Stegostoma tigrinum: one gene and its partners. The protein of the gene in region 3 binds, or shares a complex with, the protein of the main gene of each other region. Links are inferred from orthologs where the notes say so. Each region holds a gene or a part of one and is shown on either strand. Other genes may lie near its edges.

Evidence for each region.
Region 1: rbm15b (region 3) and mettl14 share a complex: the UniProt entries of both Homo sapiens proteins name them as parts of the WMM complex. The link is inferred for Stegostoma tigrinum from reciprocal best matches to the Homo sapiens genes RBM15B and METTL14.
Region 2: rbm15b (region 3) and virma share a complex: the UniProt entries of both Homo sapiens proteins name them as parts of the WMM complex. The link is inferred for Stegostoma tigrinum from reciprocal best matches to the Homo sapiens genes RBM15B and VIRMA.

The regions. Positions count from the first base shown.
Region 1 is NC_081354.1:67,562,020-67,565,769, reverse strand, and holds the start of mettl14 (N6-adenosine-methyltransferase non-catalytic subunit), read right to left. Parts: upstream 2,216-3,750; 5' UTR 1,868-2,215; coding exon 1,802-1,867; intron 1-1,801. UniProt on the Homo sapiens protein: The METTL3-METTL14 heterodimer forms a N6-methyltransferase complex that methylates adenosine residues at the N(6) position of some mRNAs and regulates the circadian clock, differentiation of embryonic stem cells and cortical neurogenesis.
Region 2 is NC_081358.1:91,435,767-91,439,516, reverse strand, and holds the start of virma (protein virilizer homolog), read left to right. Parts: upstream 1-1,099; 5' UTR 1,100-1,150; coding exon 1,151-1,210; intron 1,211-3,750. UniProt on the Homo sapiens protein: Associated component of the WMM complex, a complex that mediates N6-methyladenosine (m6A) methylation of RNAs, a modification that plays a role in the efficiency of mRNA splicing and RNA processing.
Region 3 is NC_081364.1:63,277,144-63,280,893, reverse strand, and holds the start of rbm15b (putative RNA-binding protein 15B), read left to right. Parts: upstream 1-1,092; 5' UTR 1,093-1,386; coding exon 1,387-3,750. UniProt on the Homo sapiens protein: RNA-binding protein that acts as a key regulator of N6-methyladenosine (m6A) methylation of RNAs, thereby regulating different processes, such as alternative splicing of mRNAs and X chromosome inactivation mediated by Xist RNA.

The DNA of each region.
Region 1 (3,750 bases), on a different chromosome or scaffold from region 3:
AGAAGACCTTAGTTTAAGTATCCCACATACTTCACTGGAGGAATTTCCTGTTTATCCAGGACTGGATGTTGAAGGAGCAGCTCACAGTAGATAGTCATAAGAGATGATGGAAGATAGAGCTGAGTATAGGAGCGGAAGCGAAACATTTATGTGCTTTCACATTATATCATCAAGAGGCAGCAGCCAGTACAAAGGGGAACAAAGAAGGATCATTAAGGAACACCAGCAGTAATGATTGGAGCAGGAAGAGAAACCATTCGAGTGGTTCCTTAGGTGCGATTAAGAATGAAACCAAATGACAGCAGGCACCACTCAACTGGATGACTTATCAAAAGCAGCAGATAGATTGATTCAAATTGAAAAAAGTACAGAGGAATTGAGCAGGTTTGGCAGCATCTGTAGAGATAGGAGTTGCACAAAAACACAGAAGGTGCATAAGGGAAGTCATTCAACCCCTCAAGCATGTTTCGTCATTCAACGTGATTACGGCTGGTCATCAAGTTCATTACCATAATCCCATCTTTCCCCCCATTTTCCTCGATTCCTTCAGCTACAAGCGCTATTTCTACCTCCTTCTAGAAAATACAATGTTTTGGCCTCAAACACTTTATGGTAGTGAATTCCACAGGCTCACCACTCCCTGGGTGCATTTGTAAAGGTTGGTGAGGGTCCTTAAGGACTTGCCAAATTCCCTTAGCCTCCTGAGGAAGTCCATCAACAAGTTTGCTGACACCACCACCATATTAGGCTGAATATCAAAAAACAATGAGATACAATACAGGAAAGGAACACAGTAATCAGTGACATGGTGCAAAGATAATCTTTCCCTTACTGTCAGCAAAACTAAAGAGCTGATCATTGACTTCAGAAAGCAAGGAGAACACATCTACATCAATGGAGGTGGGTAACAGCATCAACTTCCTAGGAGAGAACATAACCAACAATCCATCTTGGACTGCATGAATTCATGCAGCAGTCAAGGTGGCAAAACACCTCTTCTTCCTCAGAAGGCTAAGGGAATTCAGCAAGTCCTTAAGGACCTTCACCAACCTTTACAAATGCACCACAGAAAACATTCTATCTGAACGCATCATGGCTTAGCACATCAACTGCTGTGCCTAGAACTGTAAGAAACTACACTAAGTTGTGAATACAGGTCAGGCCATCACACAAGCCAACCTTCCATCCACTGACTCCATCTACTCGCAATGCCGCAGAAAAGCAGCCAACATCAAACACCCCTCCTACACCAGTTATACTCTCTTCCAACCTCAGAAGATACAACACATTAAACATATATATCAACAGGTTCAAGAACAGCATTTTTCCCCTGTCTTTATTACACAGGTGAATGGAACTCAAACTTCAAATCTAGTGTTAACCTTACTTTTGCACACCTTCTTTGCAGCTGTAACTTTGCATTCCTCATTCTGTTCAATCACCCTATGACCCTTGTATCTTTTAATGTTGTGATCTGCCGTAAGACACGAAAAACAAAATTTTTCACCTGTACTTAGATAGATATGACAATAATGAAATAAAAAACGGGTAGGTTCAATCGAAATTTCCGAAAGGGAGATGGACGGTTACGTGGAGGGTTACAGACAGAACAAAGAAGCCAGGTGAATCGCTCTTTTTGAGATTTAGTGCAAACACCGTGGAATGAACGACCTCCTGTGCCGGCCTCACCGAAGCCCGGCCTCAGATGTACCTAAACTGATCGCTCCTTTTAAACCAGGCGCTGGATCTGAAGTGCTCCCGGGAATACTGTCACCGGGGGTGTGAAGACAATGGCTCTCACCTGCTGGGCTAACAGTTCACGCCGCCGTTTCTGCCGCTCTCGGATCTCCTGCAAACGGCTGTCCATAGTCGGTAGCCCGCACACCCCACCCCCTCACCGGATCTGACCTTCCGTCCGCGCGACCAAGTTTCTACATCACTTCCAGCGGTGCACGCCACGACGTAACACCGCAGAGCGGGGCGGCCGTGGCGGTAAGCGCAGGGGCGGGTCTCGGTAAAACAGGGGCAGGGCCGAGTCGTTGTGGGTGGTACCACTTATAGGCAGAGATAATGGGAACTGCAGATGCTGGAGAATCCAAGACAATAAAATGTGAGGCTGGATGAACACAGCAGGCTAAGCAGCATCGCAGGAGCACAAAAGCTGACGTTTCGGGCCTAGACCCTTCATCAGAGACCCTCTTATCCACTTATAGGCAGACCGCGTATGTGTAAACGGTGCCGAGTCTGTTCGTGCGGAGCGGAGCGTGTGTGGGCGTGGTCGGGTGTGTGTGTGTGGTTGTCTGTGTGGGCGTAGTCGAGTATGTGTCGGCGCAGCAGGGTGTGTGGGCGTGGGTGCCTATGTGGGCGTGGTCGAGTATGTGTCAGCTCCCCCGGGTATGTGTGGGCGTGGCGGTATATGTGTCGGCGGAGCCGTGTCCGCAGATGGGTTTGTGAGCTGGAATGGATGCTGTTAAGGGCAACGCTTCCAATTCCCCAGTCCCCAACACCTCATTTTCACCATGGACGTCCAGTCCCTATACACCTGCATTCCCTATGCAGATGACCTTAAGACCCTCCGCATCTTCCTGTCCCGTAGACCGGACCAGTCCCCCTCCACCGAAACCCTCAGCTGCCTAGCCGAACTCGACCTCAGCCTCAACAACTTCTCTTTCGATTCCTCCCACTTCTTACAGAATAAGGGGGTGCCCATACACCTGCCTCTTTGTAGGTTATGTGGAACAGTCCCCCTTTCGCACCTACACTGGCCCAAAACCCCACCTTTTCCTCCGTTACATTGATGACTGTATCGACACTGCCTCATGCTACCCAGAGGAGCTCGAACAGTTTATCCATTTCCCCAACACCTGCCACCCCAACCTCAAGTTCACCTGGACCATCTCCAACACATCCCTTACCTTCCTGGACCTTTCTGTCTCCATCTCAGGCAACCACCTACAAACCGATGTCCATTTCAAGCCCACTGACTCCCACAGCTACCTGGAATACACTTCCTCCCACCCGCCTTCCTGCAAAAATTTCATCCCCTATTCCCAATTGCTTCGCCTCCGCCGCATCTGCTCCCAGGATGAGGCATTCCACTCCTGCACATCCCAGATGTCCTTGTTCTTCAAGGTCTGCAACTTCTCTCCCGGAGTGGTCGAAAATGCCCTCAACCGTGCCTCCCGCATTTCCTGCACCTCATCCCCCACACCTTGCCCTTGCAATAACCGCCATAAGACAATCCCCCTAGTCCTCACGTACCACCCCACCAACCTCTGGATACAGCACATCATCCTCCAACACTTCCGCCATCTACAATCCGACCCCACCCACTAAAGACATTTTTTCCACCCCACCCTTGTCTGCCTTCTGGAGAGACCACGACCCCCTTGTCCGCTCCACACTCCCCTCCAACCCCACCACACCAGACACTTGCCCCTGCAACCGCAGGAAGTGCTACACCTACCCTCACACCATCTCCCTCACGCCCATTCCAGGCCCCAAGAAGACTTTCCACATCAAGCAGACGCTCACCTGCACATCCGCCAATGTGGTATACTGCATCCACTGTACCCGTTGTGGCTTCCTCTACATTGGGGAAACCAAGTGGAGGCTTGGAGACTGCTTTGCATAACACCTCCGCTCGGTTCGCAGGAAACAACTGCACCTCCCAGTCACGAACCATTTTAACTCCCCCTCCCATTCCTTAAGTCGACATGTCCATCCTGGGCCTCGTGCAGTGCCATAATG
Region 2 (3,750 bases), on a different chromosome or scaffold from region 3:
GGCTACACTGTTCCTATATTCCTAAATGGATGGGTTCCAAAAGTATATTTCCTCTTGTGGATGAGAGTAGAGGTGGCATTTTAACCATTTAATTTAATACAAAAGTGAGTAGAAATATTTCCTTTCAAAGAACTGTGAGGCTTTAAAAGTCTCTTCCTTTAACAGCAGTCAATGTATTAAGACAAACTGAGGGAGTTAAAAGGTACAGGAATGGGCAGGGTGGGGGGGGTGGGTGGGAAGTGTTGAAGTTACAATCAAACAAGCCATGAATGATACAGCACTTGAAGAGTTAAACTGCCCATCAACTCTTAATTCATAGATAATGGGAACGTTAGCTTTTGTGCTCCGAAGATGCTGCTTGGCCTGTTGTGTTCATCCAGCTCTACACTTTGTATACAATGAAAATGTGGTATTGACACAAGGGAGCTGATACTATATTAAACAGAAAGATCCCTGAGAATCCTGGTATATGCCAACTTCAATGTGGGACAAAGGATATTGCTTTCTTTCTTCAATCACAGCATCATTGGTGGGCGTGCAGCGTACCTACTGAACACGGACAGCTGTGGTTCAAAAACATGGCAACTCACCACCTGCAAGTTCCTACTATCTCTGAAACGACCACCTTCACAAGGATGGGCGCGAGAGGCCATTCGACCCATCGTGCCTGAACGAGCGTTATTCTGAGGAAGGGTCACTGGACCCGAAACGTTAACTCTGATTTTTTTTTTCTTCACAGATACTGCCAGACCTGTTGAGCTTTCCTAGCAACTTCTGTTTTTGTTCCGTCATTACTTACTGCCAGTTTCCTGTCCTACTACTCCAAATCCTCGCACAGTACATTACTTCAATCCATATAATCAGCCAATGCCTTCCAAAGGATCCCAAAAGAAGAGATAAATTCCCTGTTTGTAGGTTGTAGCCTGGAACATGAGGGGAGTTCGATTATTACAGTTTGCTAACTGTCGCTCATTCCCGATGACACTTTCCTTTCGGGTTTTTAAAACCATGACTGAGATACACGATGTAAACACCACTACACAACTCGCTCCGACCGCTCCCCTCCGTCCCAACCGTCCACATCCTACTCACCGGGCATGCGCCATGGGCAGTCGGAAGTATCTGGCAAGGAAGTGACGCATGAGGAGACATGGCGGACACAGCGGCAGAGCTGTTGTTTCTAGATACGTTCAAACACTCAAACTCGGAGGTAAATCCCTGCGGCCGCCTTTTTAGTCATTCATCGGGACCGGCTTCTCTTGTTGCAGCTGCTTTTGTAAATAGCGCTCGGGGTGTTGCAGCCGGAACTGGGCCTTTAATCGCGGAGACGCTGGGATCTGGCTGCGGTGGTATAGCGACCCAGGATTTGTGCCCTTTCCTCTGTTGGTGGCCCGACATAGCCTTCAAATTGCGTGGTACACACGATAGTTTCGACTTGCTAAAGTCTCCCCTACCTCCTTGTCCTCCAGTGTTGCATGTTTGTTTTGTTTCTGTTCAAGTGATAGTTCCGCCCCCTTTCCCCCACGTTGAGCCCAATTAAAGAGTTGATCTGAAAATCGGGACTAGATTTTAAAGTAGTTTCACTTGATTTGAAGGAATTGTTAGCGATTTCTGTGCAGCGCTTTCGCGGGATAACTTGATGAACGAGAATGAGATGCGTTGATTGCAAACAGTTTTTGAAACGAGAGACAGCATAAAACATTGTAAGCTATTTTAGCTTTAACTCCTTGTGTTATACACCAATTTCATTTTGCCAACTTATGTAGGGCAAATCTGAAACATTGTAGGAGATCACGTTTTACAAACCAAGAATGCTAGTGTTCACAATTTTCTCAGATGTTATGCAGCTGAATCGGCAGTAGTTGGCTAACACAGGTCCTCAAATTATAATAAGGGAAAATTAGATTATAGATTTGTACTTGTCTGCATGAAATATCTTTAGTTAGTAGATTCTGCTGCTGTTATTGGATTTAAATGTTCACGTTTGTACACAGCATGGTAATTTTTTTGTTAAAAGCTTCAGTTTCAGTAGAGAACTGAAGACAGGGAAAGTCAGAGTGAATTTGACCATTATCTTAGTTCCTGATGATAGTTGCTTTAAATATTTCGGCGTCAATTTTGATAATCAGGTTTATGTTTCAGAGGATAGTTAAGAAACTGCCATTATTGAGTGGAGCTGGAGTCACAACCAGACTGGGCAAAGCTAGCAGATTTCTTTCCCACAGCACATTGATGGACCAGATGGGATTTTGATGAAAATACACTGGTTTAATGATGTTCTTGACTGAGATGATATCTTTTTAATGTGGATCTACAAATGAATTGAATTGAAGTTGCATATGATTTCATCTCATACCTTCAAAATATTTGGACCTTAGTGTATTGCTGGGACAATTGTTGATAAAAGTATTTATTCTGTGCAGCGCTAGTAGTGTAACTGAATTGTAATATTAAAAAAATTCAAACAGCATGACTTAAACTGAATTGTTCGATTTGCAGGAAAAATAGATTTACTTTTCCTGCTAAACACAAAAGAATAAAATTATTAGTTGTAAAGTTAATTGGCAGGACATAGTATTTTGAAACACAGCAACCTAGTTATAGTTTGCCAAATGTTTCTGCTTTTTCTATGGTCTCATATTGTTGTCTGAAATTACTTTCTGCTGAAGATACTCTTTCAAGTTGAAATATGGGTGATGGTAATGCTTCATAAATCTGGTTTTCTTTTTGTGGCATTTCTTTCTGTGACCTGTACAAAGTACCAGGCTGTTATTAAGGAGGGACATTAAAATTAAGTTTGATTCTGACAGGGGTTTGGAAATTGATTGCAAATCGGAGCTGAATCTTGATATGTCTTGGAGTTGTGTCTGTGATGATCTTTAACTAATATAACCAGTTTTTAGACTTTAGACTTTGGACCTTATCAATGCCATAACTTGAACTGTACAATACTGTACTGTTTTAAATCTAAGGTAAACTTTGACCATTTTCCTAATAAGTAAATTTAAATTCAAGAATCTACAACCTTGATGTTATAGAGTCATACAGCATAGAAAGAGGCCCTTCAGCTTGCCATGTCTATGCCAATCAACAAATATCAAGTTATCCAAACCCATTTACCCTGAATTGGTCTATAGCCTACTATGTTGAGGTATTTTAAGTGCTCATCCAGATGCTTCTTAGATGTTGCGCACCTACCCATCGCAGCCATCCACTCAGGTAGTACATTCCATATTTCTACCACCCTGTGGGTGAAAACATTTTTTCCCCAGATCCCCTCTAAACCACTTGCTCCTCATCTTAAACTTGTGCTATCTGGTCTTAGACATGTCTGGCGTGGAGGAATGATTCTCACAATCTGCCCTATCTATGCCTCTCATAATCTTGTATACTTCAAATCAGATCCCGCGCCCAGCACCCCCCCCCCCCCCCCCCCCCCCCCCACAGCTTCCTCTGCTTCAAGAAAATAAACCCAGCCTATTCAGTCTCTCCTCATAAATGAGACATTTCATCCTAGGCAACATCTGGTGAATCTCCAATACAGTCATGCCGTTCTAATAGTGTGGCAACCAGAACTGCACACAATATTTCATCTGTGGCCTAAACAATGTTTTATAAAGTTGTAACAAGACTTCTTGCTCCTATATTCTACACCCCACTTAATCAAGACAAGCATCCCATATGCCTTCTTCAGCACCTTTTTTACCTGTGCTGACATTTTCAGGAATCTGTAGGCTTATTCATCAAGGT
Region 3 (3,750 bases):
GGCAAGAACCTGCGTTTGTGTACGTGGCTAAAAAAAAATTGCCTGCTGTCTGCAATAAATACAGAACTGCCTAGATCTACTGGTTTAGCAGATTTCCTCGCAATCCACGCGTAGCTCAGCCACCCATGATACCACGGGCAATCCTCTGGCTGCATGTCCCCTGGACGAACCACCAACCTCAACAGTATTCACAACTGAATACTTAGTTGGAGAGTGGGACACACTCAAGGCAATGTGCGTTATCTGCCTGTTTACTCTTCAATGTCCGGTGAGCACCTTCGTCTTCTTGTCTGTGGATGTTAACTGGATGGTTGTGTGTGTGGGTGTGTGTGTGTGTGTGTGTGTGTGGGTGGGGGTGTGTGTGTGTGTGGGTGGGGGTGTGTGGGTGGGGGTGTGTGTGTGTGGGTGGGTGGGTGTGGGTGTGGGTGGCTGGGGGTGTGTGTGTGTGTGTGGGTGGCTGGGGGTGTGTGTGTGTGTGTGTGTGTGTGTGTGTGTGTTTGTCTGTGGGGGGGGGGGAATGCAATGCAATGCAGTAGTGACGGTTGTTGCTTAAATCCTGAAACACAAGGTCCGAGCTCCTGCTGATGCTTCCTGTGCAGACGGTTAGCCAGGGCGCGGGAAGGATCCTGGAGTTCCCACACCCTCAAGGTTGAGCCTCCGTTACCCCGTCATTGCTTATCAATTCCAGGCCCTGCTATCGCTCATCATTCCACTGGTTCACCGATCTCCCCGTTGCCGATGGAGCCTTGGCCTTGGTTCTGAACCGTGCGCCCACGCGGTCTCTGGGCCTTCTCGGCTTGTCTCCGGGTCTTCACAGGCCGGCGTAAGTGCAACCCTTCGGCCATAATGACGGGACATCGGGAAGGCGTGCGTTCCGCAAGCCGAGGAACAGCGTTCGCCTGCGGTACCGGCAAACAGCAAGACCACCGCACCCTCACCACGCACAGGCCGCTCGGTGTGCGTCATGACGCCACACGCCACGTCCAAGCCCGCCGGGCAGGCAGAGCCGCAACGGCGCACGGCGTGATGGTGTCATTGGAAGCGGTGCGCCCGGACGGGGGTACGCAGGAAGCGGTGAGGTCAGAGCGCTGGGTGAGGGCGAGGCACGGGGGGGGGATGAAGCGGAGCGCATTCTTTCGGCGGGGATAGCGGCAGAGTGGTATCGTTTGACAAGATGGCGAGTGGGGAGCTTGGGGCCTGAAGGGGAGTCCGTGGCGGGTCCCCTTTCCCCGGGGGGCTTGGCGATCGGCGTAAGCTGGTGGTGCAGCCTGGGCCTACCTTCCCCGAGAAGGGCTGGCGGCCTAGCGCGGGGTCGGTGTGAGGAGGAGAGGAGGGAGAGCCGGGTGGTGGTGGGGGTGTCGAGGGGAGGCAGGCCTTGGGCCCGCCATGAAGAGACAGAACGAGCGCGACTCGAGCCCCAGCTCGGCTCCAGGCAGCGGGAGAGCGGCCAAGAGGCCCCGGGAACGGGAGAGAGAGCGGGAGGGCCGGTCCGCCAGGGAGGAAGGTGACACGGGCCGAGGAGGAGGCGGCGGCGGCAACTATCACAAGGCCGGCCTGAGCGCCAAACACCCGGGGGGTCGGAGCAGGAGCCGGAGCCGGGACAGAGCCGCGGGAGGAGGGGACAAATCCAATAGCAACAGCCGCAGGGAGGAGAGGGGGGACCACCATCACCACCACCACCACCATGAGACTGTTAGCTCTGCCAGGTTGCCCACTGCCAGGTCCAGCTCTGCCCAGAAAAACAAAGGTGACAGTAGCAGGCCTGCTGGCCTCGAGTACAAGACCCTGGTGATCAGCAACCTGGGCTCGCAGTTGACGGACGAGGCGGTGGAGGATGGTCTCTTCCATGAGTTCAAGAAATTTGGGGAGGTGAGCGTTAATGCAGCACACACCCCTGAAGGGGGCCGGCTGGCATATGTCCATTTCCGGCACCACGAGGACGCTAAGGAAGCAAGGCATGCCAAGGGCCGGCTGGTGCTCTACGATCGACCCCTCAAAATTGAGCCGGTGTACCCCAAGAGGAGGAGTTGTACTCCACCCGAGGTTAACTTTGGATCTATCCACACTGGGTATCAGTATCGGCAACGTTCTTTGTCACCGGGGGCCTGCACCCTCCGAGACCAGCGGACGAGACATACTAATTATCCCATTGAGGCAGTACCACTGGCAAGGGAGAGGGAACGGTCGTTAGACTATTACGGATTATATGACGAGCGTGGGCGAGCTTACAGCTACCCTGTGCAGGAGGATGATTTGATGCCCGAGGATGACAAGCGAGCCACAAGGAACTTGTTCATTGGCAACTTGGATCACAATGTTTCAGAGACTGATCTGAGACGTGCTTTTGAGAAGTACGGCATCATTGAGGAAGTGGTCATCAAGCGCCCGCCCAGGGGGCAAGGGGGTGCCTATGGGTTCTTAAAATTTCAGAATTTGGACATGGCACATCGAGCCAAGGTAGCCATGTCAGGCCGGGTGATTGGCAGGAACCATGTTAAAATTGGATATGGCAAAGCCAACCCAACGACTCGATTGTGGGTGGGTGGGCTGGGACCCCTGACCTCACTGGCTGCACTTGCCCGGGAGTTTGACCGGTTTGGCAGCATTCGCACCATTGACTATGTGAAAGGCGACAGCTTTGCTTACATACAGTACGAGAGTTTGGATGCTGCGCAGGCTGCCTGTGCTCAGATGCGTGGCTTTCCACTTGGTGGGCCTGACCGGCGGCTGAGAGTGGACTTTGCTAAGGTGGAAGACACACGTTACCAGCAGCCGTACCCACAGGCACCGCTTCCAGTCCCCTTCGAGCTGTTGGCAGATGGTTTTGGTCGGCACCGGAGCCTGGAGCGGGAGGCCAGGACACGTGACCGGACCCCACCACTGCCCCTATATCACGAACGGGAGAGGACCTATTTGGACGGTGACTGGAGCAGCCCGGCCAAGAACCTGGAGCGCCGCAACAACACTGACGCTGTTTCCATCCGTAACCGGGACCGCTGGCTGAATGAACGGGAGAATGACCGCAGTACTGTTGCAGCCAAGCCCTGGGAAGAAAGGCGGAAGCGCCGGAGCCTTTCCAATGAGCGTGTCCGACCTGTACTCTCGCCTTTTGAGGACCGGGTGAGGGCTAAGCCTCGAGGCTCGTTGGAGCTGAGCCCAGATAAAAGGAACCGTGATGCTCGTGGGGCTGATGGCACCACTGAAAAGGAGCAGGTCATCTCTGGCCCTTTGGAGGATCGGCGTCTGCTTGTTGAGGATAAGGTGTCTTCAGATGCCCAGGACTCTGTGCAGCTTAAAAAGAAAGACAGTGAGCGCAATCACAGAACTAGTGAGATCGAGCCTGAGCATAAAGCGAGTATTGATGCTCCAAAAACAGAGACCAAGAAGCCAGCCAATTTGCTGGAGTTTGCACAGGCACTCACACTTGCCTGGAATGGTGTCCTTGTGCTCAAGAACAGCTGCTTTCCCACAAAAATGTTCACACTTGAGGGTGACGCTGCCATTACCCATTCCCTCCTCAAGGATTCTGTAACGGGTGCACGGGTGTCACAGCTGAAGATTGCTCAGCGCCTACGTCTTGACCAGCCCAAGCTGGACGAGGTGACCCGTCGCATCAAGCAGGGCAGCCCTAATGGCTATGCTGTGTTGCTCGCTGTGCAGGCTCCCCAGGGTGCTGAGGGAGGTGATGGCGCTGTGGCTGTGGAGCCTGGTCTCCAGCAGCGGCTGTTACGGAATTTGGTGTCGTACCTG